3 linked regions of the Macaca fascicularis genome follow. The protein of the gene in region 3 purifies or fractionates together with the protein of the main gene of each other region. This does not show direct contact. Links are inferred from orthologs where the notes say so. Each region holds a gene or a part of one and is shown on either strand. Other genes may lie near its edges. The genes, in order: HLTF, CHD1L and RNF146.

Evidence for each region.
Region 1: the proteins of RNF146 (region 3) and HLTF purify together in Homo sapiens (affinity purification with mass spectrometry; 4 studies listed by BioGRID and IntAct, with this or other methods). This does not show direct contact. The link is inferred for Macaca fascicularis from reciprocal best matches to the Homo sapiens genes RNF146 and HLTF.
Region 2: the proteins of RNF146 (region 3) and CHD1L purify together in Homo sapiens (co-immunoprecipitation; 3 studies listed by BioGRID and IntAct, counting the BioPlex papers as one, with this or other methods). This does not show direct contact. The link is inferred for Macaca fascicularis from reciprocal best matches to the Homo sapiens genes RNF146 and CHD1L.

Annotation. Positions count from the first base shown.
Region 1 is NC_088376.1:51,897,920-51,902,084, forward strand, and holds the start of HLTF (helicase-like transcription factor), read right to left. Parts: upstream 2,805-4,165; 5' UTR 2,607-2,804; coding exon 2,587-2,606; intron 1,155-2,586; coding exon 947-1,154; intron 1-946. UniProt on the Homo sapiens protein: Has both helicase and E3 ubiquitin ligase activities. Possesses intrinsic ATP-dependent nucleosome-remodeling activity; This activity may be required for transcriptional activation or repression of specific target promoters.
Region 2 is NC_088375.1:112,993,191-112,997,208, forward strand, and holds the start of CHD1L (chromodomain-helicase-DNA-binding protein 1-like), read right to left. Parts: upstream 2,809-4,018; 5' UTR 2,791-2,808; coding exon 2,658-2,790; exon of another isoform or gene 2,439-2,657; intron 1-2,438. UniProt on the Homo sapiens protein: ATP-dependent chromatin remodeler that mediates chromatin-remodeling following DNA damage.
Region 3 is NC_088378.1:31,213,257-31,217,267, reverse strand, and holds the start of RNF146 (E3 ubiquitin-protein ligase RNF146), read right to left. Parts: upstream 2,812-4,011; 5' UTR 2,581-2,811; intron 1-2,580. UniProt on the Homo sapiens protein: E3 ubiquitin-protein ligase that specifically binds poly-ADP-ribosylated (PARsylated) proteins and mediates their ubiquitination and subsequent degradation. May regulate many important biological processes, such as cell survival and DNA damage response.

The sequences.
Region 1 (4,165 bases), on a different chromosome or scaffold from region 3:
CCAAAACCTACAAAAAAATACAAAAAAAAATACAAAAACTAGCTGGGTATGGTGGCAAACACCTGCAGTCCCAGCTACTCGGGAGGCTGAAGTGGGAGAATTGCTTGAGTCTGAGAGGCAGAGATTGCCGTGAGGCCAGATCAGGCCACTGCACTCCAGCCTGGGCAACAAAACGAAACTTGGTCTCAAAAAAAAAAGGGAAAAAAAAAAAATCCAATTCTCTTAAGTGAAAGAGAAAATCACACTGGCCTGAAAATTCTATACAACATTAGGATATGGAGAGAAACTATATATTACAAAGATTTTAAATTCAGCCCAACTGTCATTAAGTCCTTCACAACTTTCATTTTATGAAACTGTCATTCATAAAATGCCACAATTATGACAAAAACTTAGGAAATACTGTTTCTCCCTAAGGAATCTCCTAGACAACACATTTCAGACAATCAAAAAACAACTTGTAAAGTTCCAATGTAAAGGAAATATAGGAGAAAAACAAATCCAGAACATGAAACTCCCAAGGAATCTCCTGCTGAACATGCTTCAGACACCCAAAAATAAAAAAGATTTAAGAAGCTTAAAAGTAAGAAACATACGGAGAAATGAAAGAATAAAATCCAGAAGATTTCACAAAACTACCTCCTTTTTGCAACAAATCGATGACATGAACAAGGCACTGGGGTGTGGGGGCGGGGTGTTACCCATAATAACTAAACATAACGCACTGAGACCAAGCATAGTGGCTCACTCCTGTAATCCCAACACTCTGGGAGGCTGAGGTGGGAGGGTCACTTGAGGTATTTTTTATTTTTGGGGTACAAATATTTCATTAACTTAAAGTAAAATAAAGATGAACCGTACACATCACCTGCTAATTCTCTTATTTTCTAGATTAACGCCACAAATATAATCAAAATTTAATTTAGTTATCTACTATTATACTCACTACTCCCGTGTAATAGCGTAGTCCAACCACATGACCTCTCAAACTTCCAAATAAAACGGAATCTAGTTCTTCATCACTAGTTAGGAAGTCATCTGGAGGGATAACATCTTGGAACTCAAAACGTGGAAAGAAAGTTGGATATGAGAGGCGTGGAAAATTTCCATGAACTCCATACTGCACAATCTGCAAGTACTTCCAAACAGGATCCCTATTTTTTTTTTAAAGGCAAAGAAAAACAGTATTTAAGTACTTCCAAAGACCATATGAGTGGTTTTCTCATGCTTTACTTCAGCAAATGAAATCTTACATGGGAATCACAGTAAAGATTAATAGTTAGTTACTCTCGTTAAAGCAGGAATTGCAGTGAGTGGAGAAGGCTTCCCGGGAACTTTACCTGTTTTCAATATTGGCTCTTCTACCTGCCCCCTAGGAATTCAAAATGAAAAGCCTAGTCAGAGCTCACTAATATCTTTCCTAGTGAAAATCATCTAAACTGAAATGTATATGATGTCTGTAAATACAATTATGGGCCAGATGTGGTAGCTCACGCCTGGAATCCCAGCACTGTGGGAGGCAGAGGCAGGTGGATCACCTGAGGTCAGGAATTTGAGACCAACCTGGCCAACATGGTGAAACCCTGTCTCTACTACAAATACAAAAATTAGCCGGGCGTGGTGGCGCACATCTGTAATCCCAGCTACTCGGGAGGCTGGAGAATCTCTTGAACCCGGGAGGCGGAGGGTGCAGTGAGCCAAGATTGTGCCACTGCACTCCAGCCTGGACGAGAGAGCGAGACTCCATCTCAAAAATATAAATTATTAAAAAAATAAAATTATATGCCAAAATTTCAATAGGGATTCAGCTACAAAAGACTTACAAAAATACAACTACTATTGTATACGAAGTTGTTTATAATTTTCCAGAAAATACATCCAGCATCCATCACTGTAACTCCCTCCGAGCAGAACACTTACTTTATTCTGGTATCTAAGCCACGCCACCGTGGGAAATTGGCCCCAAGCCACCCGTACCCGCCTCCCGTCGCTGGTTTAAGCATTACCCCAAACCCGTTACGTGTAACTGTTTCGGGAATGACCATAAAAACCAATTTGGACAATGAAAAGTGAGGGGAAGTCTACTGGAGCATTGCAGAAAGTTTCCATTCTCCTAAGAACAGTCGCTTATTTGCGCTGCGTTTTCCTTGCAAGTGGCGCATTCTCTCTATTAGCTCCTCTGCAAATACGTATCTGCACGTCTGTGCATACACATAAGCTGTGAGCCACTTGGGGACAACGGCTGGCTTACTCGGCCCTCCACCGAGCATAATGCCTGCCGCACAGTGGGTATCTAATGGATGTTTTGTTGAATAACGCATGGGCCGAGAGGCTTTAAGCCCCAGGCCCCCCACAGTCGGTGACAGAGATTTCCCAAGTCCCTAACACGAGACTCGCCCTAATAGCCCCTACTCGCCAGCCAAGACAATGCATTTATTTCTCCCGCGGCCACATATGCGACCAACAGAACGAATACAGCTGCACAAATCGCCCGGGGAACGTGGAGGAACGCGGGGAAGGTCAGGTTCATTTGGGGACGCCTCCAGGCCCTTAGCCCCAGCGCCCCACCCCCTCCGCCCCCTTCACCTCTTGAACATCCAGGACATGGCGCTGAGTGGGATGACAAGAGGAGCGCCTCGGCTCCCCTGGATCGTTCTCGAGCCGCCTCGATACGCCTCGTTCCAGGTCCCGCAGCCCTGAAGCCGGGAACAAATTCCGAGCGCCGGATAAGGAGCGTACGACTGAAAGATAAGTCGCTGCGAGTCTAGTCAGACGTCGACGCTGTCTCCTTCTAGCAACAATCTGGGAGACCAGCGTCGCTCTGTGACTGGCACTAGGAAAGCCCAATCACGAAGAGAAGAGTGCGGAGCCAAACCAATCAGAGCACAGAAGGGAGGGCAACTCCGCCCCGCTGCCATTCAAAGACTGCGGGGGGTCCCGGCTGCAAGGGTGGTTCCATCCGGGTTCTTCCCCGCCCCCAAGGCGGGCGCGCGGGAAAGCCACGAGGCCCCAGGAGTGCGACTGCGGTGCCTGCGGTGCCGGCGTTTTGTTTGATTCCCTGCCTTAAACGGAGGGAAACGACTTTCCTTTACCCCACAAGTCCTAAGACTCAACCCCATTCTAAAGCCTCTACCGTATCCTTCCTCTTATTTCCTCCTCATCTAATGTGGCACGTAATAGGGCGTTATACTGAAGGAGCTCCACGGTTTACGAGACCTGGAGCTACCGGCGAGATACTTTGTTTCATTCCCTGTGGTGAACCCTGGGGACTTTCGCTCCAAATTTTCATGCTAAGCCTCAGCGTATGGATGAGACACAACGAGTTTGGAAAATCTTAAATGGAACTTAGAGTCCCCTCCCCACCTCTTTTCGTTATTTTTAAGGAAAATTTTCCTTTCTTGGTACAGGAAAGCCATCACATGTTTATCACAGCTATGGGGGCGTTTGCCGGAAATGGTGGACAGGACCCTTTTCCCAGTGGGCACGTGGCTGCTCCAGCCCAGCTGGGGAGACCCTTGTTTTCCCCAAGGAACTGCAGAGGGGCGCTCTGAGGCCCTCCACGGCTCGCTTTCCAGAGTCTGAGGTGACTGGAAGGAGAATGCAGCCCTGGGACCGTCAGCCTTGGACCAGCTGCAGCCCACGCCTATCAGGGCTGGTCCCTGCGCGTTGGGGATGGAGAGGAGGCTGCTGTCCCCGAAGGTGGCCTTTTAATCGCACAGGGCGGGAAGCCGGTGATGGCGCCGATCTGCACAGGCGGTGCCGTGTAACTGCCAGAGAATACTTGCCCGTCACAGAGAGGTCCACATTACACGCCCGTCAACACAATAATACTAGGTGGTCAGCTTTTCTTTTCTTTTTTCTTTTTCTGTTTTTTCTCTTTTTTATTGAGACGGAGTCTCGCTCTGTCCCCCAGGCGGGAGTGCAATGGTGCGATCTTGGCTCACTGCAGCCTCCACCTCCCGGGTTCAAGCGATTCTCCTGCCTCAGCCTCTCGAGCAGCCGAGATTACAAGCGCCCGCCACCACGCCCAGCTAATTTTTGTGTTTTTAGTAGAGATGGGATTTCACCATGTTGTCCAGGCTGTCTTGAACTCCTGACCTCAGGTGATCTGCCCGCCTCGGCCTCTCAAAAGTGCTGGGATTTCAGGCGTTAGCCGCCGTGCCAG
Region 2 (4,018 bases), on a different chromosome or scaffold from region 3:
AAGCACCACAGAACAGGCACACCAAGGAAGTATCTACCTCCATGACCTGGAAGCCAGGAACCAACCAGGAGGCCACCATACCGTCAGCTCCAGGAACCTATCAACCGTGGTAACAAAATGAATGCTCTGTACCCACCCAGAGACCCATGAGGTAGTAGCCAAGAGGGAAGCAGAAAACCCAAACCCCTCTGAGTCCTTTCCCTCACTTTCCCCTTCCAAATCTCCCACAGTCATGTGCCTGGCTAAAGCCAAGTCACATTTACAACCAAACTACGGTGGGGTTTGGGAAAGGTAGTCTTTAGTTTTTTAACCTCCAGATGTAGATTCTTTTGCCCTTCTGTCAGGGAGATGACAAGTAGTGAAACAGCAAGCAAAAGAGCAAGAAGTAATAGGTCTGCATATTCCAGAAACAAAAAGGTCCTAAGGTAATTTCATGATCCAAAGATGAATATCCAAATGTCCATCAATATTGGTAACCAAATAAACATTAAATTAAACAATACAATAACATGTTAACTTCTGAAATTAGAAAATACTAGTGTTACTGAGAGTATGGAGAAATAAGCAAAAATTTTGCATATTCTTTATTCTAGAAATAGTACTTTTCAGGAATTAAACGTCCATAGCTATAATAAATACTTGGTTACAAGGATATTTATTAGTGTTACTTACAATAGCAAAAAAAAAAAAGAACTTAAATAAATACCAAGAAGAGGGACTGTCTAAACTATGGTACCTCCATATACTGAAACACTGTAACCATTAAAAATGACGTTGAAGAAGACTGAGTGATAAACAAAAAAAGTTATGATTTCCCAAAAGCATGTACATCAAACTCCATTTTTGCACCTTCCCCCTCCACCAGAAAGTAAAGGAAATTATACAGGATAGAGAACATGTTAACAGTAAGGAGATTATGGAGATTAATATTTATTTCTTTATGCATAGGCTATTTCCCTGAATGTTTTACTGAAAATATGTACTACTTCTGTAACCAAAAGAAAAAAAAAAGCAGTAAGAATTTTTTTAACCAACTCATGAAGAATAGTTTCTCATAATACTAGTTTATTCTGGTAAATAGAAATAGAAATTTCAGGTTATAATATTCAGTACCTATTCCTTTGACCCTGCTTTTTTGTTTTCCTTCTCTCCACTACCAATTTATCCAAGCTGCCACATTTGCCTACTTAATTCTGAATTTACTCACTCCATTCCATCCACTCAAACTTGCAACCTCTTGTCTCCTCATTTTCACTAAAACACTTGCCCATATGTACGTTTCTCCCGGCATATTATCCCCAGCTAAGTATCAACTGGCACACTTTTCTGAGCCCTCTCTCACACAAGTTCTTAAAGAACCATTCCCAACACTTGAAAGGAAATAGGCAAACACCACAAACATCAACTTAAGATAAAGTCAAACATAAAAAGACCAGTCGACAAGCTCGTACTTAAACTGCATACATACTCCTTACAGCCACAAATTCTTACAGACTCCGGGAATCAAGGAGAGGTCTTTCTCTTTCCCATCTGCATCCTCTCCATTCAACTTCATCCTTCTCTCTTCTAAGCTGAACACAGAACTGCACCTTTTGTTTCATTCCTAGAATGACAAATCTCACTCTTTCATGGTATTGAGCAATTAAGTTATTGTTTATACTTTTAAATGCACTCTCACTAGTCTAAAACTCTAGGTAGGAAGGGTCCATATTTGTTTAGCTCATCTCTGTAGCCAATGCCTAAGAATACGCTCCCAGTAGCATTTAATCAGTAATGAATAAACGACTGTATTCTTATTACTGATGCACGATTCTGTTAATACAAAGCACACACTACGTTCCCCACTTGTAAATAAGGAAAACGAGGCTGGGGGTTCAGCGGCGAGTCAGCGCAGACCCGGGAAGAGGGCGGGGTCTGGGGCTGCAGTAAGTACCGTCAGCAGTGCAGCTGCAGGGCTGCGGGGCCTGCAAGGTTCGCGCTTTGCAGACTCTCCGCAAGGGCTAGTGTCAATAAATCGAGTTACGTGCGGTAGTGAGCGGACAAGCTAAGTTGGCATATAGTGCGTGGTTCAGTCAGTATTTATGAACGACTCAAGACACAAAAATAGCTTCATAAAACAGTGCTTTGCTTGAGTCTGTCCGCTCACTACCGCACGTAACTCGATTGGGAGAATTAATCAGTGGCGAATTCTCCAATAACTGCGCGCACACAGTAAAAGGGGAAGCTGAAGCTGGGAGATGAGTTGATCGTTTTACAGAAACAACCAATAAACTCCCCAAGCCAGGACCCAAACCCACTGTAACAGCAACGGGAAGCCTAGCATCCTTGGTGCACCAGGCCGTCCAACTCTTCATCGGAGGCCTGCAGGTGGCGCTGATCTCACCATGTTTCCCCTCCACAGGCCGGGGGCCGGGCCTGGTTCCCGGGACTGCGACCTCATTCATCCCGCGTCCGCCGCCCCGCGCGCCGCGCAGGCGGGGGACGTGGCCAGCAGGCCCGGGCGCGGTTTCTCTCCGCCCACGGCAGGAGCGAAGGAAGGCCCTGGCGCCGGCGGGTAAACAGCCCACAGGGCGGCCCACCCGCTGCGCCTCCGGCCCGCAAGAGGCAGTCCCAACAGGTTGGCCCGCCTGGGCGAAGTCCGCCCGGAGCCCGCTCACCTGTCAGCCCCCATTGCCGTAAGTCCTGCTCCTGCACCCGCGCCCGCGCAGCCTCGGCTCGGCCCTCAGTATGAAGCCGCAGTAAGAAGCCAGGCGCTTGGCCCCCGCGGCTGGCAGCGCCCGCGCGCTCCATCAAGCCAGTAGAGGCCCCGCCCCGCGCGCCCCTGCGTGCAGTTCCCTCCCAACCTCCCAACGCGCGGGGGCGAGCGGCGGCGCGCTGGGGCCCACCTGCGAGCGAGGCGCCGCCAGAGGGCGCGTCCTGCCATGATTTCCGGAGAGGAGCTGGTGCAGTTACCCTCTGACTTAGGCAGTTTTTGCAGTGCGGAGTGGAAGGGCCGCCCAGTTCTCACTAGTTATGCTTCTGAAGCGCTAGGCGTCTGATCACGCGCAGGGCGTCTGGTTGCCTGAACTGCCCGTCAAGGAGGTGGCATATGCTCTTCATTCATTTATTATTTAATCAATATCGACTATCATGTGTCAGATACTCCGCTGGGCCCTGGGGGTTGTAGAAGTGAGAAGGACTTGTTCCATGCCCTCCAGTGATTCATGACAAGATCAAACTGTCCTTGATCGGTTTACGTTGTGATAAGTTGGTTTAGTCCCTGAAATCCATTTCTTACTGCCTGTGACCCGTAGGCCAAAACTGGGAACCTCTGAATAGTAGTAAATTAAAATCACCAAAGACGTCATTGTTGCAGTGGGTATCTCGAGTGCATTATGGCGAGCAGATTGGGGCCATGTGTTCAGTGACTCAACATCAGCTTTGAGTGGATTTATCATGTACTACATCACTAATATAAATATGATAATAACAAAATAGCTGCATCTATTGATGAAGTTCTAGGTGGTGTCCTAAGGGCATTAAGTATGTTTTCTTATTTAACCCTCACAATAACCAATAATTAGATGTTATAATTGTCCTCACATTGTAAATGAAGATATTGTGACTTGTAATGGTAATTGGCAGTACTGGTACAGGAATGATATTATTCTCTGGCTAATGTCATTAGAATAGTATTCTCATTTAGGTTAATCTTGGTGCTTCCTTCTTCAGTAAACTCATGTTAAAGTTGCACCCTCCATTATTTTCATCTTCCCCTAAAACAAAAGGGAGAAATTCGTTCTGAGCTACAAAAGGGATGACTTCAGTTTGGTTTATTCATAAAAACTCAAGCAAAGCACTGTTTTATGAAGCTATTTTTGTGTCTTGAGTCATTCATAAATACTGACTGAATCATGTACTATGTGCCAAGCACTCTTTATGGTACTGAAGATAGAGGCCACTAATCTCCTGGAGCTTATATTTTAAAAGGAGGAGAAGAGCAATGAATAAAAATCAGGTAGGATTAATGCTAAGAGAA
Region 3 (4,011 bases):
CATCGCCTGCTAAAAATTAGCTGAGAAAAAGAATAGGTCATACTTGGAAACTTCAGACAAAACTCATTTCAACTAAATGGGGTCTGATACTTTATTTTAAAGAATCACTTCCCTTTAAGACGTTACTATGTGGCAATCTACTTACTGCCTTCACAATCTTTATACTAGCGCATTAAACCCTTTAATTTTTCTCAAAACAACAAAAAAGTGGGCTTTGCATTTTATTTCAAAACATGAGATGTAAAAGTGAACAAATACTGTCTTTTAATCATATCACACACAGATGTTTCTTAGCCAGCAACGATTTCATAAACAAGGAAGCTCTTTGGCAAATTATCTGTGTGACCTTGGTCAAGTCAAAAGACCCCCAGTCTTTTGTTATCTCATCCTACTGTATAATTCTGTAATTCTAAGTTCTAAATGCTTTAATTAGCAGTCAGTTAACAACACTTTGGATTTGAATTAACCCAAAAGGTCATACGCCACAAAAACTAAACACAGTCCATAAGTAAGCACAGGTGGTTGTAGCCAAGTGTTACATAAATTGGTTTCTATATCTACAAAGATGTTGTTCCACAAATTCAGATTCCTCAGGCACAAGGCAACCAGATAAGAGAATGGAAAAGGCTCAGTACCTTCTGTTACTAACACAGGAGAAAAATACGCATTCGAATTCCTAACTGTCAGAGCTGTTAGATGTTTCCTGGTAGTATATGGTTAACATATAAAATAATACTCTTTAAACAGATCGATATTGTGAAAACAACATATTTAATATCCTTTTCTTCTTTTAACTCAAAATATCGTTTTGGATCCTTTTTTAAAAAAGTCTGTTCCTTTCCTCTGACAATTTTAAGTTGGTGGAGACTGAAACAAAACACTTTGTAAGTTGACATCTCCTTTTAAAAAAAGTTAATTTTTTCTTTCTCTTGTCTAAAAGACCAGCTATTTGGAGAAAGTTTTCCTGATGATTATAATTCTACCAAGTTTTGAACAACCAGCGAAGAAAAAAAAAATATTTAAATGTATTTCCATTCTGCCCACATGACACACTGGCCCATTTGAGACATAAATTCTAAATGAAAGATTGGACTGAACAACATCCTCCACTCTAAGATATACAAGGCACCAAAACAAACACATCCAAAATCTATTTTTAGAGTGGTGTTTCACTCTTCCGGTTTTCTCTTTAAAACGAGATTTACTTGACCTATTTTCAAGTGTTTTTAGGGCACCCAGGCACTCTATACAAACAGTATTTGCTAGTCATAAAACAGCAAAGCAAAAATCACAAATCCTGGTATTAGTGTGGGACATTTTCTCCATGTGTCCTTACGTGCCATGTCTTTTAAAAGTCTAAATATAGATTCACTGACTAAAATGTCCTAAGTCTTCCAAATTCTATAATTATATACTGGATTGAATGCCATCATACGTTCACATCCCATTTGAAAAGTACACACACGGGGTGGGGGTGATGCGCCCAGTACCTGAAACGTCAATCATACAAAGAACAAAGCGTTCCCTATCTTTGGGCTTTCTTCTCACCTCAGTTCTACATTGTTTCAATATTACAAAAATATTAAACAAAATGTTCAAAACTTGAGATATAAGTGCTCACTAAAATGGCACTTGTAGAAAAGAAATTAAAACGTATACCAAAATGATTAACGATAAAAAATTCTAGTTGCCAGGATGTGTGTGTAAACTTACAGTCCTGTAGGTTTTACCTGTGGAGAGGACGGTTCCTTCTCCACACTCTTAAAAACAATTTTACATTCTTTAGAAGCCTTCGCAAAATAAATAGCGACAACAATGGAAGACCGACACTCCTCTCATGGGATGGAGGGTAGGAAGAGAACTCCCCACCCAACAAACAGAACAAAGCAACAGTCTCAGCTTTCAAGATGCACAGAGGGTTTGGAGGCTCAAGGGATACTGTGAGATCTCTTAATTGTTCCGATGCTTCAACAGCCGTCAAAACAACTAACAATATGCAGCGCTGGGCTTCACTAGAACAAGGTGCAGGGATTGCTCTCTTCGTATTAGCCAAGACCAAGACACCGAGGAGGAGGAAAAAAAGGAGGAAGAGAGAGAAGAGAAAGCAGCAGCCAGAGACACTCCGGGAAAAGACAAAAATGCAGACTGTACGCCCTGGCTTCGATCTGACCCAAGGCCTAAACTGTCTGACCCCACACGGGAAACAGGGAGCAGGCTACTGTCGAAAAACCATCGCCGCCCCTACACCTCGAGGCCAGGAGGTCCCCGGGTAAAGGCCTGAAACCACGGCCCAGGGGGAGGAGAGGGACCCGCCTGCCACCCGAGGCAGCGACGCGGGCTCAGGCGGAAGACGCTGCGCAGTAATGGCCGCTGCTCCGCCCCTCGCACCCGGACCGAGACCAGCTCCGGCCGTCACCTAGGGCAGGGGCTGCGGGGCCCTCGGGCAGCGCATGGGCTGTCACGGTCGTCTTGCCTGCCCCAGCAGCCAAGGCGGGGGTGGTGGAAAGGGCTGAGCTGTCCCATCCCGCCTCTGCGCGGACAGCCGGGGCCGCGCCAGCCCAAGGGCGTCCATCTACGTACCGGCCCCTGACCCCGCCGCCGCCCCTCTCAGGCCCCGAGCGCAAGGCCGACCCGGAGTACGTTGCGGCTGGAGGTGACACCGCGAGGTATGCCTCCTGTCCCCGAGTGAGGATCCTGGAGTGGCCGGCGTTCACCCTGCTCCCCCGAGAGGGCCTCGCTCCGACTCCCACCTCTCCGGCCACAGCTGCGGCCACCTCGCAGTCTTTTCTCTCTGGCCTCGGAGCCCGCAGCGGCCGGGAACGCGCGCGGCCGTCACGTGACCACTCGGCGCGTCACGGAGGCGGGGCCGCGCGGGGCGGAAGCCGTGCCGCGCACCCGCGAGCTGGCTCCGGCGTCTCCTTTTTCTGTCCCTGCATCGCTTCGCTGCCTTCCCGCACTCTCTTGCTTGTGGGGACCGGCGACTTCCCTGCTTGGATTCTTCTGGCTGCTTTAGAGTGTGCTTTAGTTGTATTAGGGCCCAGAGGCACTGAAAGAATGCAGTTCCAGCAGAGAGAGGTTTGGGGTGGAGGAAGTAAAACGTGTGTAGGCCCGGCAGGTGGTGCTGCTCAAAAATCCAGCTTTGCTATCCCGAGGAAGCCCTGGGGCGCCTAGCTGAGTTTCGGCTTGAAGATCCCTTAGCAAAAGTACTGCTTGTTCCACTTCAAGAAAAAAAAAAAAAGGAGGGTCGTGGGCGGGGATGGAGGGCAGAGAGTACTTTAGGACTTTCCAATTTATTCACCTTTTTAATGGTTGAGCAATTTAATACGGGAAAAAATTGGTATTTTATTTTGAGCCCTCCCCTTTTTAAAAAAACAGAATAGTGCCTGAGAAACTGAAGAAAGAAATTAATCTGCGTGAGAATCTAAAATTAAATAGGTTATTTTGGTCGCAAGCCTGTGGTTTTAAACATCAGACCTCTAGCAGTAATTCACCGTTTTAGCATGTACGTTTCCTTTTTCAGAACTGATAAAATTTTCCTAATGTGTAGGAAAATGAAGAGGGTGGAAGAGCAGACCTTTTATCTTTAAAAGAGTATGTATTTCAACATTCTGTGACAGTGTCTTCTCGCATTTTGGGATTTCATTAACTGATTCAGGATTGGAAGTTTTCAGTGCCCTTATAGGTATAGAAATGTATATGTTTTCTGTTATTCCCCTGAAATCAGTTTATTTCAGGGTTTTTATTCACATATATTAATATGTCAACCAATCTCTTGAAGGGTGCATCTAGTTCAGTGATGCTTGTGCATGTATGCAATACTGTTTTTCTTATAAGTTCTATACATGTAGAAATATTGAAGTGTATATCCTTTAAGCTTAGTTTTCTATCTTTATCTTCTTATTAGCCACTCAGTTTTGTCCCTGTATCCTACACAGCCCAAGAACAGAGAATCGCTAAAATTTGATATGTACTCGAAGATTCCAGCTTAAAGAGGTAATGCTAGTATTAACT